3 linked regions of the Cricetulus griseus genome follow. The protein of the gene in region 2 purifies or fractionates together with the protein of the main gene of each other region. This does not show direct contact. Links are inferred from orthologs where the notes say so. Each region holds a gene or a part of one and is shown on either strand. Other genes may lie near its edges.

Region 1 (3,645 bases), on a different chromosome or scaffold from region 2:
CCGGGACAGTGCCTCTTTACCAAACATCCTGTCCCCTGCACTACCTGAGAGCCCCTCTCCATCCTGTGTTTCTCATGGCAGAACTAGAAATAGTGGTGCAGTATGGTCCAATTGGTCCAGCATGGTCTGGCAGTGCAGCCTGAATTCATTGAGTCTTGAGCCTTTGTTGATATCATGTGGAGGAAGGGCTTCTCAGTGGGTAGGGTAGCCTTTAAGGCCCTACCATTTTCTAATGTTGTGTGAATCTCTTTCAGGGATGCTAGGACTAGAGTGAGAGGAAGTGTGAGTGTTGGGGTCGAATTGAATCCCCCTTCCTCTCCATATTTCTCTTCCTTGACCTTAAAAAATATAAACCTTTTATTTTACTTGCTGTCATTATTATTGGTATTTATTATTAGTACTACTGAGTGTGTGTATGATGTATGAGTGTGTGTGTGGTCTCATGTGCCACGTTGCATATGTGGAGGTCAGAGTTGCAGTCTTGTAGGGTCAGTTTTCTCCTCTGTTTCCACCTGTTCATGGGCTTCTGGGACCAGTCTTGGCTTGGGGCAGGAGTGCCTTCATCCTCTGAGCCTTCTTGACAGACCCGCCTCTCCCTCATTCTGTTAGCTGCTCAGTTCAGCTGCCTCTTGGTTTAAACAGGCCTGGGAGACCTGATCTGAGAACCTCCCAACTGAACTCTCTACATCTTTCAAATTTGGCTTTGTGCTTTACTTGCCAGCACACAGGGCACCTGCTACTCCTTGTAAGAGCCTCCTCCCATCACCTCCTACAACAGAAGCTGAAATACCTTCTGTGAGGGCAACACTTTCAATGTTTGGGGCTTGCAGGCCATGAGATCTCTTTTGCAATGACTCCAGCCCGCCCTTGTAACACAAAAGCAACCCCAGACAATACATACCCAAAGGAGTATGGCACTGCTCCAAGAAGTCTTTGTTTATGAAAGCAAGTGGCTGGCTTGGCCCTTAGGCCTTGCTTTGCTGACTCCTGCAGCCCGTGGGGCCTTCATCCACCATCTCCAGGTGGCCTGCTACCTAGGTATCTCACTCTAAGACTACCTCACACACTTCATATTTTCTGTCAATTTTCTATTTAATTTCCTTTGCCTTATTAGAGTGGAAGGTCCACCAGAGCAGGGACTCTGCCTTGTCTCCTGTTGCTTCCTGAGCACACCGAACAAAGCATGGCCTGTGGTAGATATTCAATAAACAGTGGACGAGTGAGAAAAACAAGCCCTTAAACTTTACCTGGCTGTCAGTTGGGTCTTGCTTTCTGCCCACCCCCCTCTCCGCCTTTTGTTTTTCTTTTTCATCAACTCCTATCTTCTTCCTTAATGTGGGTTTCCCTCTGTGTTCATGCACTGTTTAACGTCTGTGCCCCTCTTGGCTTGTGTGCGTTTGAATGGGATCCCCTGTGAAAAGCCCCGGGCCCCTTGTGTTGGCTGCTGCTGCTGCTGTGCTGGTATTTCTTGGACCAGATGTTTATTAAATAGTGGGACTAAAGCATGAATGGACTGTATTTTAGTCATGTGGGAGATTTGTTCTTTTGAGTGGGCTCTGGGCAGAATAAGTGCCTTGTGATGCCCAGATGTTGCTGCCCAGATCTGGAATCGTCCCAGAGTAGACGGAAAGCATTGTGTTTTCTGGGCTCAAGACTCTGGGTACCATTCACAGCTCTCACTATGGGCATGAAAGCTTACTTCATGGGCCCTCAGGGTCACCCTGGCCCTGAGGAAGGGCAGTGGTCTCATCTCTCCCTGCCTCTTCAGGGACTGTGATGACGTTCAGTATGCCTGCCTTCTCTGTGTATGTCAAAGGTGCCCCAGGATGGAGATGGGAGTGAGGCATGAAGACCTATCAGAGTTGAGCTTTCCACCCGGGACTCGAAGGTTTCCTCAGGAAGTCAGGACACTCACAGGCAATGTGTCTATTCCAGTGGGGTTTTTTTTTTGGGGGGGGGTGCAGATAGATGGACTTTAGAGTGGGAGAGATCTCTTTTATTTCCAGTCAGGTGACTGATATGGGGTGGTGGATCATGGAGGACCATGATTAATGTGGGCATCAAAGGAGGAGCTGGGCTAAACAGGAGCAGGAGGGAGGACAATGTGTTCATAAAGAAGAGAAGGATGTTGAGGAGACTGGGGACTGGGGCAGGATGGCTCTGGCTTCACTAGTAACATGAGAGGTGGGCATCCTTATTCAGAAGCTGATTTGCAGTATCGGGCCATTAATTGTCAGGGACCCCCCTCCTTTTCTTTCTTTTGATGTAAAGGGTAGCCAGGCATGTATTATTTTGAGGAAGACAGCGTTTCCCAGCTCACCCAATACAGAACCAGCTCAGTACTGATTGGACCATGAGAGCTAACAAAAATGAGAAAGTCAATAGTCCCCACTTCCCAAATGACCAAGAGTGTGTAGATGGGTCCATTTGCCCTTGAATTTGAGACATTTCACAAAAGCTTGGTTCTGTGGTAACAGGCTAAGTGAAACATGAGTAAATAGTTAAGTCAGTCTGAGAGAGAGAGAGAGAGAGAGAGAGAGAGAGAGAGAGAGAGAGAGAGAGAGATCGCATACACCTCCCTCATGTTGAATGACTAACTTGGCAATCAGTACCTTTAGACTTTTCTTACGGATTTTCCCTCTACTCTGGGGCATGGCTGGTTTTTAAAGCCCTGTTTACAGTATGTGGAAACAAACCAACACAGGACAGCTTCTGGCTGCTTCTGTGGCCGTTGTTTCCAGGGCTGTCAGTCAAGTCTGTGTGGGGGCTGCTTCCTGGCTTCTGGGGTGTGGTGAGAGATGGGCAGCTCCTGAGGCCATTTGTAAAACAAGAACAGCGTCTCCTGGGAAAGAACTGGCCTCCACTGACCTTTGTTGGACCTTCTCTCCTCTCCCTCCTTTCCCATCTGCCTCTGTCTTCTCTCTCCCACCTGTTCTACAGAGCCACCAACCAAATACCAAATCTCCCAACCAGAATCGTACGTGGTCGCCCCCGGGGAGTCGCTAGAGTTGCACTGCATGTTGAAAGATGCCGCGGTGATCAGTTGGACTAAGGATGGGGTGCACTTGGGGCCCAGCAATAGGACAGTGCTTATTGGGGAGTACTTGCAGATAAAAGGCGCCACACCTAGAGACTCCGGCCTCTATGCTTGTACTACAGCTAGGACGGTAGACAGTGACACTTGGTACTTCATGGTGAATGTCACAGGTGAGTGGGCTTGCAAGTGTGACACTCTGTCTCTTCTGTAGCTGTTTTCTGATTGAAAGTTGTTATTATTTTCGGCCAAGTGAAATCACAGTGAACTGTACTCATTGACTGCCAGGCACATAAAGTGTCAGCTTGCTATTCATTCCAGACAAGGTCTTCCTTTGTTGCCCAGGCTGGGCTTGAACTCCTAGACTCATCGCCCCACCCCCACCCCCACCCTACACACACACACACACACACACACACACACACACACACAAGCCGATACCACAGGCATAGACTACTATGCCTGGCTGATCTATTTCTGAAATTCCTCACTGGTACCTGATGTACCACAGATTTCTCAAGTGACCGAGATATTCCAAGTCAGAGCACACAGAGTCCTCTTCACCCTACACACTCCCAGCATTCTTGGCATTTACAGTATAGAATTGAAAT
Region 2 (4,132 bases):
CTAACACACGAATGTGCAAGTGTGCACACACAACACACACTATATATAGATGTATATTTATATATAATATATTATGTATATTAATGCTTTCCCAAATCAGATCCTGTATTTGCTTATGAAGAATACATGATCTCTAACTATTATCATGTTTATGCCTTGACTCTTTTCACAAAAGATTTGAAGCACCTATTCTATTTTGGCTGTGAGCTTAGACTTTAATGGCTGAGCCATCTCTCCAGCCCGAAGCACCTATTGTAACATAAAGGAAAGCACACAAATTGTATCTACCTGGCTTCAAATATGGCTCTGCCATTCACTAATTACAATTTTTGTGCTTTTAAGTACTGAATTTAGTTTCCTAACCTGTAACAATGGAGACCACAATCTCTGCTGAGTTACAGGAAAGATTAAAAAACAGTAGGTACAGCACAGTACCTTTGCATATATATTAGATGCTAAATAGGCTTGTATTTTATTTAAATGCACACTATACAGAAAAAGGATAAAGTAGAATTTTTAATGATTTCTCTCTACATACTGACACGTGCCAAGGAAAAATGTGGATTAACAATTTAACAAGCAAAGGAAACAAACTATCTAAAGGCAATTTGTTGAGGTATAGCTTTAATTTTAAATCATTTTTAATGTATGATTGGATTAATTTTGAATCATATTTGTTTTTGTGTGTATTTAAAAAGCAGACTCATACCTGGGCATGGAGGCACACTCCTTTAACCCCATGCTTGGGAGGCAGAGGCAAGCAGATCTCTGTGAGACCAAGGCCAGCCTGCTCTACATAGTTCCAGGTGAGCCTGGGTTGTCTCAAAAAACTTTTAAAAAGTCCCACAAAACTAAATTAAAAAGCAGATTCTAAGTATATACAATTTCATTGACAGGTGTGGCACTTTGGGAACATTTTAATCACCTTGATAAACTGTATTTTTAAATGCGATTTTTTTTCTGAAGAAACAAAAAATGAAGAGGATCCCTTGCCAGACTGTTTTTCACACTATCCATTCAAATGGTGATTAAACATTCTAAATTTAACTTTGTTACTAAAGACTTATAGAATCACATCGGCTCTCAAATTTAAATAAAATTCTTGTATTTCTGTCAGTCTTAAAAACGCGATTTTTCTTTTTTCCTTAAAAAAAAACCATGGCAATATATATCTACATCTATGTCTCCTTTATTTTTGAACAGCATTTAGATATTAAATGCATTATCTAGTAGCAAAATATATTAAGTATGGGCTTGTATGCTTTATTACAACTCTTCCTGCATTTAGGAAGATCAAATAAATTATATGGCAGTGGAGTGACTAGGGAGAAAACCTGAAAGACGATTTGATTGGATTCCTCTTTCCTCCCCTTCCCCCTCCAGGAGATTGTAAGTGTCCTGCATCTCACACCAAACTGAGCCTGAGTTTTACTGACGTAACCAGTAACCCTATCTACCTCTCACACTGCGGAGGCCGGCAGGGGCAGCGGCTGCCGCCAAGTACACCACTCATCAGAGCCTGCCCCATTCCACCCCCGCGTTTCAGTCATGCTTTCCAGAAATGGGGTCACTCGCTCAGTAACTATTACACACACCCAGCCTATCATCCTGTAATCCCCTAAAGTCCGCTGCGAGGATAGAAGGCAGCGAAAAGTCAAGAAAGAAGAATCACAGACGCGCCACCATCAGGAACTGATTTTTCCACTCTGGAGAAGAGCGCTGATACCCTGGAATGGATCTTGTCTGTATTATTTTCTCAGATCTCGAGTTGATTCTGGGACAGGGCGGCTGCGAAAAGCTCGGTGCAGGGATGTGTTCGCAGAAATTCTGTTTTGCCTTGTTTGGGTATATTGTTTGGGCTTTTTGACACTGGGGTGGGTATCTCAGGGATGGTCACCAGATCCCGGGCGAAGAAAACCAGAGAGCCCATTACAGCGACCGCTGATCTCCTTGAATTTCACCCGCTCACCTCCACCGACAAGAAAGAAAGTTATACTCGGGGTCTTACAACTCAGTGACCACCCCCCAAACAGGGAGTAGGGGACCGGAGACGTCTGGTTTTTCTTGTGCGGCAGCAGAAAGCGCTGCAGCAGATGGGGGGGGGTGACCCTCAGTCCTGTACCCCTTACTCAAAACCCTCAACACTCTGCCCGGCGTGTGCCCGTCTCTCTGCAGCAACTCCCTCGCTCGGCCAGACTCAAGTCTTGGCTCCAGGGTGAACCGAACCCATTACCCCAAAGTCGCTAAGATTCCGGAGAAGCCCCCGGAGCCGGCAGGGCCAAACTTCCCAACTCCCCGCCGGCTCCCGCTCTGCCTCCTGCTTCCCCCACGCAAAGTTGATTAAAACCGGCTTCTTGCAAAGCCTCAGCGCCCACTCCAAAACCCCACGCGCCGCCACACCGGCAGCCGCCCCCCCAAAAAAAAGCCAGGGAGAGGTGAGGGTGAAGGAGGGAGGAATAGACAGATGGGCAAACCCCAAAGACCCAAAGCAGAATCCCGCACCCGGGACAAGATGTGAGCCCAAGAAGGTGGTCAAAGGGGCAGCTCCAGGGAAGAGAGCTAGCCGGCGGAGGCGTGGGGAAGGGGCGCGCCTGCCCCGCCGCCCGGCTGCACTCACCTCAGCGCTGTCGGAAGGGCTCTCCACAGCCATCTTCTGCCACGGGTCCGCCAGCTGCGCCAGCGGCATCTTCCCCCCCCCCGGCCCGCCGCTTTCACCACCTCCTCCCTCCCCACCCGCCCCACGGCCGGCCCGGCTCCTTCGCCGCTCGAGCGCAAGGCAGAGTCGAAAAGCCGCAGCAGAACAGCCGCGGCTCCCGAGAGCGAGCTCGACGCCGACACTGACCGCCCGAACGCCCAGCGCCTGGCCACAGCCGTCCGCACTCCGAGCGAGAGCCTCGCGCCGCCGCCAGGCACCAGGGCTCGCCCCTTTCTTCCTCTCCTCCTTCCGCCGCCCGGACTACGGCTCCGCCCCCCACCTCCCCTCCCCGCCGGTTCCCGCGCCCGCTTCCAGCAGAACAGCGACCGCCGCGCGCTCCCCCACTTCCGCTCACAACATGGCGTCTAAGCGATACCTGTCTCTCAGAGCGAGGCTGGGCCTCCGCCACCACCACCGCGCGCACCCAGGGGCGTGGCTAGTGCAGGACACGCCCTTGGGCCGCTACGCTCGGCTCCTCCCCTTTCCCACCCCCACCCCTCCCTCCTCCTTCTCCCCAGCTTTGGCTTCTGGGCCTCGCCTACTTTCAGGAAGGGCGAGCCCAAGAGATTTGGGGGCGTTGGCGGGAGATGGGGGTGGGGGGGAGAGAAATGGGCAATGCAGGAAGGACAAGAGGCTGGGTGACTTTAACTTTTACGAAACCTAAGCAGGTTGGGGGCTCATTGAGAGTGGTTCGCGCTCAGCTGGAGAAGCTAGGCAGGGCGCTGGGGGCGCAGTCCCGTGCTAGCAGCCCGGGGCGGAGGCGGGAGATGTCTTTTCGGCCTTTCTCCTCCAGGGGTGCGTGTGGGCGCGCCTAGGCTATGGGCACAGCCCCTCCTGACCCAAGACTCCCCCTCTTCAGGGTCACATGCTGAGTATTCACCTGACCCCTTTTCTCCTCCTTGGACGAGGACTCCAGAGGCTTCGTGCCTGGGAGCCAGCCGCATGGTAGGTTCAGCTCCCAGTTTGATTCAGAGCTTTTCAAGTTGATTCTCGTGTTAAATTGTTAGTATTTGGGGTTTTTTTCGTCCCACCCTACCTCTGCCCCAATAACCCTTCCCAAGTGCATAGAGCCCTCGAGTTTCAGCCCAGACTATCACACCCCTCCCTTGCTATCTAAATCTTCAAACAGAAAACAGAGGTTCCTTAAGGTTGCCCTTCTTGGCAGAGATTAAGGAGTTAGTAAAAATATCTTGTAGGCAGGAGCGCGGGGTTCCTGCTCCTCCGTTGACTTTAAATAAAAGATTAGATTTTTATTTTTTTTTTTTAAGTCAAGCTGGTCGTAGGCGGAGGAGAAAGGGAGGGGGAGGTTGTGACTCCTCCTCCTGCCCAAGAAAAGGAAGCCCTGGGTTAAGGGAACCCAATCCCCAGTAGGCATCGGAGCCGCAGAATTCTAAGACTTTGAGAATTAAGGGCCTGGGCACTTGGAGTGGGTTCCAA
Region 3 (3,734 bases), on a different chromosome or scaffold from region 2:
GTGAAGTGGATGGCACCCGAGGCCTTGTTTGACCGGATCTACACCCACCAGAGTGACGTGTGAGTTTGAAATACACAATTACCCGGGATATGCTGGGGAAAGAATACTAGCAGTCTTGCATCTCTAGACTGCTGAGAATTTCTTTCCATCATTGGGTGGGGAAGGGCAATGTCTTGTCCCGTGAACATGTTTCAGCCTTTTTTTTGCATTGCCCCTTGCTGCCCCCTTGTCTCCTGTGCCCTGTCTCCTGAACTTAAGGGCTGTGCTGGGGGTGGAGAGGTTCAAGATGAGCACCTGCCCTGCTGACTTCTCAAGAGGACATAGAAAAGAAACCCTAGGGCAGCCTGGCCCTGTGCCGTAAGTCACAGTGGCACCATGTTCTCCTGTAGGTGGTCTTTTGGGGTGCTCTTGTGGGAGATCTTCACTCTGGGTGGCTCCCCATACCCTGGTGTGCCTGTGGAAGAGCTCTTCAAGCTGCTGAAGGAGGGTCATCGGATGGACAAGCCCACTAACTGTACCAATGAGCTGTAAGCATGAATTGGGGGAAAGACTGTGGGGGAAGGCCTGCTGGTAGTTGGCACCATTGAATCCACCGCTGGCAAGCTGGGTCATATGTTGAGGAAATCAGGAAGGGCTCCTTAGGTGGCGGCTCATGGGAGGTTCTTGAAGTCCTCGGGCTCTGAAGGAAGTGGGAGCATGGAGGGCAGATAATGAAACTGTGTGTTTGGAGGGAGCAGCCTCCCGAGTCATGCCGCCCCTGCCCTCTGGCCCAGCTCTGCTGTTGCCTTCCATCTTTGACCTCACTGTCCTGCTTCAGGTACATGATGATGCGGGACTGCTGGCACGCAGTACCCTCTCAGAGGCCCACTTTCAAGCAGCTGGTGGAAGACCTGGACCGCATTGTGGCCTTGACCTCCAACCAGGTAGAGCTACTCTGGGCTGAAACTTGAGCGGTCATCACATAGGCACTAAGGGGACCCTGCCATAAGAAGGTTTGTGTGCCATCTATCCTTTCCTTCTGTCACAGGAATATCTGGACCTGTCGATGCCTCTGGACCAGTACTCTCCCAGCTTTCCCGACACACGGAGCTCTACCTGCTCTTCAGGGGAGGACTCTGTCTTCTCTCATGAGCCGTTGCCTGAGGAACCCTGTCTGCCCCGACACCCGACCCAGCTTGCCAATGGTGGACTCAAAAGACGCTGACTTCCCCGGCCTTTCCCCAATTTCGTCGTCACCTGTGCCCCTCACCCGTAATTCCCTGCGGGACACACTGCCTTTCCCCTTCTCCTTTGCTGCTGGCAAGAGCCAGTGTGTACCTGAGGCCTTCCTGTGAGGCCTACCCCATCGTCACTCCCCACCCCGCCCCAGATCCCTCTTCCTCTTCTCAACCGGCCATGTGAGAAGGGAGTCAAGAGGCAGGTACTTGCTGGTAGCCACTTCCTCCTTCCCAGGTGTTGGACCAAGACCCATCCTGCTGCCTGGTACTCCTTGGAGGCCTGGGGAGTAGAAGCAAGTGGAACAGGTGTGCAAGCAAGAGCTCTCTGGAGTGTTCTGGTTGACTCATTGGCCTCCTGTGTTCTGGTGGCAGCAGCCTTGTGGCTACTGAAGCAATGGGGTTTGTTTCTGTTCGGGCCTTAACTGAAGGCAGTCTCTGCTTCAGATGGGGGGTATCAGTGGCTTCTTAATTCCAATACTAATTTGCTTTGCTGACCAAATACCTGGTACCAGAAGAGAGTGAGGCAGAGATCGGGGGCAGCGATGTGGCCCTGGGGCTGAGCCCTAGACTCGGGGCTCTGTACATAGCTATGAAGAAAACACAAAGTGTATAAATCTGAGTATATATTTACATGTCTTTTTAAAAGGGCCGTTACTAGAGATTTACCCGTTGGGTGAGATGCTCCTGGTGGCTGGGAGGCATCCATTGCTATATATTAAAAACAAAAACAAAAACAAAAAAAAAAAAAGGAAAATGTTTTTTAAAAGGTCATATATTTTTTGCTACTTTTGCTGTTTTATTTTTTTAAATTATGTTTTAGACCTATTTTCAGTTTAGGTCCCTCAATAAAAATTGCTGCTGCTTCATTTTTATCCTGGGCGTGTGAAAAGGGAGCAGATGTCCCCTGCAAAAGAGGGAGACAGGGACTAAGGGGCCATGAGCTGTTGGCACTGTGTGATTTCTATATTTCCCTGACCTCCCAGACCCTTCTATCTCTGATGATTTGGGAAAGACAGGGAAAGAAGACCAAAGTAACGGAGGGCAGAGAACCAAGACTAAGAGCTTGTTCCCTCTGATCATAGATTGTTTCCTCAGAGGAGATGAGACTAGCCAACGGTAGAACAAACCATACAGAGACTCAAAGCCCAAACCCTGTGTGGGTGCGCCTTTGCATCTATGAGAGATGCAAAGCTAGTCTTGTCTTAACCAACCTACTCTCCATTTCCTTTCCCATTCCTATCCTGCCCTTCCTGAGTCCTGTTACCAGGTTGCATTTGTTGTGACTATCCCTGATCTTGGTTTGTAGTTTTTCCTGTACAAACTCCACCCACCCCTCAGGAAAGGAAAAACAATCTTCTTTGGTTTGGGTCTGCTTGGAGACTTACTCCTGCCACCTGCTGGTGGTTATTGTCCTCTTCAGGAGGCACCTTATCATCTTACTCAGACCAGCGCCGCTCTATTCTTAGTGCTTACTGCTGGGTCACTGGGGAATACAAGACAATTCAATATGGCCTCATCCTGCAGGGGTTAGGGCTGCCTCTTTAAATACATTCTGAACGGGGTGTTTTTGGTGGCTGTGGTTTTGGTCATCATCATAGAGTTGTTATCATTGTTTCCCTCTGTAAACCTGTAACTATCAAAGTATTACAAGTGTTTTCTTGTGCTGAAAGGTATAATTCGGCGAAGAGGACCAGGGAATGAATTTTAGCTCAGAATCATCTGCTTAGAGACCATATCATAGTGTCGTTTTCCTTGTTAAAACAGTGACCATAATTTCTGCCTCAGCGCTGCTTGACTCAATGCTGTGTGGATGGATGGGAGGAGAATCTACGGAGTGCTTTGTATGACTCAAGGAAAGGTGCTAGGGTATATAAGGCACTGAAGTCCTTGCTGTTGCTATTCAAATTGCCCACAAATATCCCCTGAGGCAGGGATGGCTATCAAATAAAACATAGTGAAATTGACCTGAAAGAAAATGAAATGGCTATTTTACTTAGGTGACCAGATTGAGTCTCTTGGGAAAGGGAATCCAGCTTATATAATGAAGATGTGCTGTCAAAGTACTGCATCTGTCTGGTTTCCTGGGGGTTAAAATATGGCCAAGGCATCAATCAATACTGCCTTTCAATCCTTTCTAATTGCCAGAGGCTAGAGATCATCAGTCCCTTGGCTCTGTTAATGTAATATATTGATTTCAGGTAAGTAAGATTGAGCATAGATGAAGTAAGAAATGTGCCTTAATGGTAATGAAGTCTGTCTATCAGCTGCCACCGGGTGGAGCCAGCAACCTAAAATCCCCCCACCATATTAGGTAGTGGGCCACTTTGCTCTGAAGTAACAGACCTACCTTCCATTTGGAATCCTTGGCCTGGATTTAGTATTCTAAAACTCTGGACGTGACCAATATGGCTTGTGCAGAATTAGACCTGTTACAAGTGCTGGGTGATACTATTAAATAAAATGCCACCAACAACTATTATGGCAGACTCCTGTGTAAGGTGTGAGCTGTGTCTAGTG

What was found.
Region 1: the proteins of Rps6ka3 (region 2) and Fgfr2 purify together in Homo sapiens (affinity purification with mass spectrometry; 3 studies listed by BioGRID and IntAct, counting the BioPlex papers as one, with this or other methods). This does not show direct contact. The link is inferred for Cricetulus griseus from reciprocal best matches to the Homo sapiens genes RPS6KA3 and FGFR2.
Region 3: the proteins of Rps6ka3 (region 2) and Fgfr1 purify together in Homo sapiens (affinity purification with mass spectrometry; 4 studies listed by BioGRID and IntAct, with this or other methods). This does not show direct contact. The link is inferred for Cricetulus griseus from reciprocal best matches to the Homo sapiens genes RPS6KA3 and FGFR1.

The regions. Positions count from the first base shown.
Region 1 is NC_048596.1:70,566,678-70,570,322, forward strand, and holds part of Fgfr2 (fibroblast growth factor receptor 2), read left to right. Parts: intron 1-2,940; coding exon 2,941-3,207; intron 3,208-3,645. UniProt on the Homo sapiens protein: Tyrosine-protein kinase that acts as a cell-surface receptor for fibroblast growth factors and plays an essential role in the regulation of cell proliferation, differentiation, migration and apoptosis, and in the regulation of embryonic development.
Region 2 is NC_048604.1:94,187,201-94,191,332, reverse strand, and holds the start of Rps6ka3 (ribosomal protein S6 kinase alpha-3), read right to left. Parts: upstream 2,919-4,132; 5' UTR 2,687-2,918; coding exon 2,618-2,686; intron 1-2,617. UniProt on the Homo sapiens protein: Serine/threonine-protein kinase that acts downstream of ERK (MAPK1/ERK2 and MAPK3/ERK1) signaling and mediates mitogenic and stress-induced activation of the transcription factors CREB1, ETV1/ER81 and NR4A1/NUR77, regulates translation through RPS6 and EIF4B phosphorylation, and mediates cellular proliferation, survival, and differentiation by modulating mTOR signaling and repressing pro-apoptotic function of BAD and DAPK1.
Region 3 is NW_023276807.1:58,202,575-58,206,308, reverse strand, and holds the end of Fgfr1 (fibroblast growth factor receptor 1), read left to right. Parts: coding exon 1-59; intron 60-389; coding exon 390-527; intron 528-817; coding exon 818-923; intron 924-1,027; coding exon 1,028-1,204; 3' UTR 1,205-3,181; downstream 3,182-3,734. UniProt on the Homo sapiens protein: Tyrosine-protein kinase that acts as a cell-surface receptor for fibroblast growth factors and plays an essential role in the regulation of embryonic development, cell proliferation, differentiation and migration.